Xenopus tropicalis: one gene and its partner. The protein of the gene in region 1 purifies or fractionates together with the protein of each later gene. This does not show direct contact. Links are inferred from orthologs where the notes say so. Each region holds a gene or a part of one and is shown in the gene's direction. Other genes may lie near its edges.

What was found. The genes of interacting proteins can lie anywhere in the genome.
Region 2: the proteins of kiaa0556 (region 1) and cilk1 purify together in Homo sapiens (affinity purification with mass spectrometry; 3 studies listed by BioGRID and IntAct, with this or other methods). This does not show direct contact. The link is inferred for Xenopus tropicalis from reciprocal best matches to the Homo sapiens genes KATNIP and CILK1.

Annotation. Positions count from the first base shown.
Region 1 is NC_030685.2:40,175,327-40,178,898, reverse strand, and holds part of kiaa0556 (protein KIAA0556 homolog), read left to right. Parts: intron 1-3,182; coding exon 3,183-3,340; intron 3,341-3,572. UniProt on the Homo sapiens protein: May influence the stability of microtubules (MT), possibly through interaction with the MT-severing katanin complex.
Region 2 is NC_030681.2:96,867,717-96,871,288, forward strand, and holds part of cilk1 (serine/threonine-protein kinase ICK), read left to right. Parts: intron 1-967; coding exon 968-1,113; intron 1,114-1,507; coding exon 1,508-1,639; intron 1,640-1,990; coding exon 1,991-2,104; intron 2,105-3,516; coding exon 3,517-3,572.

The DNA of each region.
Region 1 (3,572 bases):
ACTTGAGTTGGGTGCCATGGGTCCCTCCAGACCAGCACCCTCTGTCCTTTGTGTGCAAATTAGGCCACCCACAACCAGACCCTCCAGTGCCCTGGCCTGCTCCCAAATTCATCTTCATCTACCATCCTCACCTGTCCCATTCTGCACTAGACATTGCACTTTATATTCTATATAAACTATATATAGTTTTGAAGGATTTTAATTCTTTGTGTTTAAATAAATATTTAAAAACATATACCCCACTCATTTAATGTCATTTTATTGGTATTTATTTTGATTATTGAAACTTAGCAGTAGCTGCTGCATTTCCCACCCTAGGCTTATACTCGAGTCAATAAGTTTTTCTAGTTTTTTAGGTAAAATTAGGTACCTTGGCTTATATTCGGATCGGCTTATACTCGAGTATATACAGTAATTATCTCTTTCAATTTTATTGAAGCCTTAATTTATGCTAAATTGTTGGAATTAAGAATTAAACAACTCTAGTCCACACCGTCATTTCAACAATCAAATTAAAGTCCATACCAATTACATGAATTTCAGCTTTGTCTCGTAACTAACATTCCTTTAGGTCATCTTTTCTCCATTTTTTTTTACTTTTTTTCCTTAAAGTTAGATTGCCCTAATTATTTCATTTCCTGTTTGGCTGTTACCCCTCTCTTGCCCTTCTATTATTTCTTTTCACATCTTCCTTTCTTCCGTAAGCTGTTCATATAGTTAAAGGTCTGTGTACCACATATGTGGCAACTGTCAACACTATGAAACCAGTCTTACAGATCTGATTGCTGTCATACAACTGCACGACAAAATTTTAGATTAAGCTGGAACTTTTATACCAGTGAGTGAAAAGCAAATTGCTTGATGATGCCTGCATATAATAGTTGCACACATACAAAAGGATGGCTAATTGAAGAGGACATATATTTGGCAAGTGGAAGCTCACTTAGAGCAGCCCTGGGGTTTATATAAAAGAAAACTCTGCTGTTGTTGGTGAGCTTTGGTTCAGCAACAGCTCAGTCTGTATGATGTAACTAAGCACCAGTAAAATGCACTCTTCATTTAAACAAAAAAAACAAAAATAAACGCTAGTATATGAAAGCTCATTAGAGAGTACTTCTTTTTTTTTGCTTTGATCAATGCACTCTGGGTTAGTGTATTGTGACACTTGAACCTACAGGGGGATCTGCTTCAGTGTCTTAGGGCCGCTTCCCACAGTCTTTTAGGGTAAACATAGCAGTCACGGAGGTTGCTCTCTTACAGGCAAGTGCCAGCAGTTTATTTTGTTACAAAACTTCAGTAACAAACACAAAATAAGAAACAAGACAATAAACCATTGCACCAGAGAGCTGGCTAAACACAGTTGGCAGCCTAACTACAGTTGGGTGGCTTTTCCCACTCCAACTTAACAAAAGAAAACAAAATCAGAAATCATCAGTACCTTTCCCATGCAGCGCAGCTCCTGCTACCTGTGTAGTGGGAAAGAGACTCCCCCTCCCCACACTGGAGTCTTTTTAAAAGGCTCTCAGCTGCAGCAATCACCTTGCTGCTAAGGTCTGTATTAAAGGTTTGTGATTAATTATTCCATGTTCCAGGGTACCCACTATGCAAAACCCTGGGAGAAACATATCGTCCATCAACAACTAACCCAGCCATTTTATTACAGTATCCAAAGTCCAAGAGGATCTTGGCATCTTCTTCAGGATAATTAAATAAATTACTATATTACTATGATACAAAATGCTAATATCTGTATAGTGTCATTGTCACTTTTTTTTTTTTTTTTTACTCTTGCTCATCGCCTAGAACTTTAGGTGTTGCACTTGGATATTATAGGGGATATTTATCAAAGGTAGAAAGTACAATTCGCTAGAGGATATATAAATGTATGGGAAACAGTGGATTATCAATTAGATTTGAAATGTCACCAACAAGTTAGAAAAGCAAAGATCTGATTGGTTGCTATGGGCAACATCACTGGTAATGTTGGCTTACACACTATAATAAATATGCCCCAAGATGTAGAATTTCTGGAAATGGAGATTGAGAACTTTGGACTAGTTATTTGAAGTACAAAAGAAGAAAATTCTGGTAGAGACAGATTGTCAGAAAATGTGTGGATTATCCTCAGATTTGTTTTTGGAGGTTAAAAATATCTAAAACCTTATTAAGTGGCAGTCCCATACCTGCTGCAATTGGTTCCTTGTTTTTTTTTATTTAGAAATCTCTGTGTTCAAGAGTGACCATGGGATTGCTAGTGCTTGTATTTAACTCAAAACTTTTAGCATAAGAGAGTGTGTTTTTTTCACTACTCTAGTGAATCTTGCATAATTAGGACATCTCTGAAATAGAAATATACAAAGGAATTTTATTTAAAACCTTAAAGAAATTTTCAGTAGTCACTCAAAAGACTTTTTTCCGCAAATATTAAATCATTTGCTGCAATACTTTAAAAAACAGTTTATTAGCTCCTTCCTATGATCAATAGTGTCTAGTATGGCGAATTTAGAATTATTCAGTAGCTTACAAGTTGTACAGTGTTTTTTTTACTTTTTGTATATATATAAGATATTCTTTTTTTTTGTAGTTTTTGCAGTTTTTAGCTAAAATGTGTTGTCAAATTCCTACAATTATCATATGTGCCCTGACAACTGGTTGCTCAGAGATAAATTGTATTTTGATCTTGGCTATTAAAGCAAGTCCCTTTTAACTATTAAATATATTTATAGTATTGCAGGTTACATGTCTATCTTTGGCTAATTCACGTGAATTTTTGACTAATTTGGCCATACAGGTGGTGGGCCCAATTGGACTGTTTTGTCCAGTTGTTTTACCCCCCCCCCCCACCGACCAGAGATTGCATAAATAACATAGGTTATGGTTAAAACCTGTGCAAAATGGTTTGGAGATGACTTAGCATCAACAGCCATATGCTGCCCTTAACTGATGCCATTTTACAGTCTTGCCAAGTAAAAAATCCTTATCCAACTCCTGTCATAGTTTTTGCTGTATACAAGGGGGAGCAAGTTGCTAACTTTGCCAAGAGTAGCCAGGTTGGCAGCCTTAATATGGACAAGGTAAGAAATCATATATGTTTTCTTGAAATAGATCATTCATATTGGGCATTGTTCCATCCACAAGTGAACTGTAGTAGTAAACAATGATTTTTCTTTATCCAATTATAGGGTAAGATTGTACATCTTACACTAGATGGACATACTATTTCTCCGCCAGAAGGGTTTCTTATCCGTAAAGGACCTGGCAACTGCCATTTTGACTTTGCTCAAGAGATTCTGTTTGTTGACTACATACATGAGAAACAAATAACAGACACACAATTAAGGTAACAGTATAAATTATCATTGTTTTCTTATGGACTCTATATTAGTGTGTGGAATGAGTGTGCCTCATTAAAGGAATACTGTCATGGGAAAACATGTGTTTCTCAAAAGGCATCAGTTAATATAGCTTTTCCAGCACAATCCTGCATTGAAATCCATTTTTCAAGCCAAACAGATTTTTTTTTTATATTTAATTTTGACATTTTTATTTCCCAGGTTGCCACAGCCATGTGA
Region 2 (3,572 bases), on another chromosome or scaffold:
GTTTAAGTTTATACAGCATTAAAAGACACAGCAAGGAGCTAGCTGTCCTAATACTGCTTACGTTCAGCCTAGTATAGGAAATTGTATTTGAGATATATGTATGGACCTGTTTAAGCAGAATGCTTGGGACCTGGAGTTTTCCAGATAGGGTTTCTATTCATAATTAACTACTAAAAAAAACACTGAAATTGAAATAAACCCAGCAGAATAGTTTTGCCTCCAATATGGATTAATTAATATAGATTAGTTGGGATCAAATACAAGGTACTTTTTTTTTATGGCAAAGAAAAGTTGTGTTTTTAAAATTTTGGATTATTTAATTAAAATGGAGTCTCTGGGAGTTGGACTCAGAGCTCTCTGGATAACAGGTTTCCAGTGATAAGGAATACATTCTGTGTGTGGAAGGATTCTGTTCTCAAGATAGCCTAGTTACATCAATTATAGCCTTGAAGACAAAACCACCTATTTGGCAAAGACCTTGTTTTCTGTGCTGTGAACAGATTTTTCTATGGGCGTATACTGGTAAACTGGTAACACCTATGCTCATAACGTGTCTTATGACATATGCTACTGTTACAAAGTCTGTATAAACCCTGGGCTGTTTTTGTTCTGTAGTTCTTTTGCTCAGAACCGATGTATGAGTCTAAAAAATCTTACCTAATTATTGCAATGAGATGCTCTGCCATCTGTTGTAAAGGCTCCTCTAACATAATTTTATTGCATAACCTCATACTTTTTCCAGATATGAATGTCTCCATCGGTGGAAAAGAGAATGAATGCTTAATCCCTTTGCACTCTCTGTAAATGTGGTGTAAAATCTCACATGCATGCAGTAATTGCTAGCTGTAATATTGTGGGACAAACCAATGAAGAGAACCCTGTTTATGTTATATGTTAATTTATTTTTCATTTAACTTGTGATTTTGCTTAAAAAGTTAACAGAAACTCATGTTTTGTCTTTGAGCAGCTTTAAAAGTATAGTGGATTTAAAGAATGCAGACAATGGTTCTGCTGGGTCAGAACTCAACTCGTTCGCTCAGCAAGATTCTGCTACTTCCAGAAGAGCCTCGGCAGCAAAACAACATTACTTAAAGCACTCCCGCTATTTGCCTGGTCAGTGTATAATCATCTTTACCATATTTTATAAAATTGTTTAAAATATTAAATAAGGCAGTGTGGTTTTTTTTTTAAGTTTGCTTTCCTTGTCCAGTCTGTTCTATTAGTAGGGAGCAGGCAAGTGCTGAACGCAGGTGAATAGGAACTAGATGAGTCTGAACGCAGAAAATAATGTCCATCTGTAAAAGGTCTAAATAACAAAGGTTCTTATCAATTTTCACAGAAAACAAACCAGCAGTTTACTGCCCTTTATGTTATGCTTTCTAGGTTTTCTGTCTGTGTCTGTTCATGTTGATGTTTATTCATGTTTATTCTTGATCTACAAAAGACAAATCCAGTGAAAAGGTTACTGCTGGTTTCTGGTGACAATTGGTGTCCCTTGAATTTGCAGGTCTTACTATCAACAACAGTGCAGGCAAATCCTCAAGCAGTGATTCTACAAATGTTTCAAATCCGTGGCCAATTCCTCTTCAGCCCATTAAGCCACTGGGCTTGGCATCTGAGACCAATAGCAGGCTTTCAGGTAGGGGTGAAATAGTACACTTTTAACGTTTTTACGAACACTAAACAGCTTCTTAGTAAATGTTAAACACTTTTGTGTTTATCTTGTATGTACCACAAAATTATTCATTTTGTCAGTACAACATCAAATATAGATTCTTTTTTTTTTTTTTTTTTTTTTATGTATTGTGCAATTGTGTTGTGTGAATCTATACATGAAATGTATTATCAACAATTTCTCACATGGCAGAAAAAAAACCCAACCAATGCTATAATACAGCAATTATAGGCATAATTAAACTATACGTCTCCAGTATGTTGTGTGCTTTTGTGTAACAGGTTTTATGTTTTCTTTTTTTTTTTTGTCTTCAAGGTCAGAAAGGAAGCAGTGACCCAGTTTCTAGTTATCTGCCAGCCTTTTTGAAAAAAGATATTGGCTATATTGGGCAGAAGGTGCAGTTAGCTCCACTTACAGATCCAACTCCCAGTGAGTAAACAGAAGTATATAAAGACACCACTGCAAAAATCTGAACTTATCTTTCTTTTCTGGTGCCTACCACATGCACGCACGCAATTCAAAAATAACTACCTGGTTTGGGGGCACTGAGAGCAACATCCACTGGGGAGCAACATGTTGCTGATAAGCCACTGGTTGGGGATCACTGATGTAGAGAGCGATATTCTGAGACAATTTGCAATTGGTCTTCATTTTTTATTTGTAGTTTTTTAATTATTTTTCCAACAGCTCTCCAGGTTGAAATTTTAGCTGTTATCTGGTTGCTAGCAAGTCCCTGGTTGCTAAGCTAATTGGGACCCTAAGGTAGAGTTGCAATGAGAGACAGGAATATGAATAGTAGAGGGGCTGAACAGAAAGATAAGTAATATAAGGTAACAATAACAATAAAATTGCAGCCTCACAGAGCAATAGTTTTTGGCTGCTTGGGTCATTGACCCCCATTTGAAAGCTGCAAAGAGTCAGAAGAAGACAAATAATTCAAAAACTGTACAAAATAAATAATGAAGTCCAAATGAAAAGTTGCTTAAAACTGGCCATTCTATATACGAAAAGTTAACTTAAAGGTGAACCACCCTTTAATCACTTGGGTTTCTTTCTCCTCCTCTAACCCACTCAGCCCCCCTCCCTTGGGAATTTACTTTGGCTGTTGGCTACTGGGCATGCTCACTTCCTAGCTAAAACAGTCAATCTCAGCTCAGATTACCAAACATTATTCTCTTCACTCTAGCCACCAGTGAAGAGATGGCATTGCTGGTTACCATAGAAAAACTATGCTTTAACTGTGCTCTTTTTTTGGTGGGGGGGATACATAGAGTATAAATGATACTGTTTGGGTGGCGCAGATGTGCCTGACTTATATACATGGTAGAAAAATTTAGAATTTACCTGAACTTTAAAAGCAGCTCAAACCACACTAAGATCTGCTGAACTTTGAAGGTATGGATTATTACTGTTACAGTGCTGTTGAACTACTCTGTGCCAGTACCTTAAGTTCATTATATAAAATGCAGCATTTCCTGCACTATTCATTATAGATTTTAGTTCCCCTTTAACTGTTCTTTCAGCAAGTAAGTGTTTATTGCAAACTAATTTACACAGCACTTCACTTTCCTTTTTTTTCTTCACTAATACATACAAACATGTAGCTGTATTCCAAGGGGTGCCACAACATCAAAATGTTCTAAGGGGCCTCCTTTCTCAAACATATTGTAATGTTATTGTGAATTATTTTTGCATTGGGTGTTAGTGTGCCTTTTTGTAGCTATATGAAATAGAGCCAATCTTTGTAAATCCCATTGCAAGAGAGTGTTAAATGTGAGCACTCACAGATGCATGTATTTTTCAGTACACTAATGTATGCATCCTGTCATCTTCCTGTCTAGATTATGGATCCCTGAGGTCTGTTGGATCATTTCTTGGTCCTCCTTCTTTTCGTTCA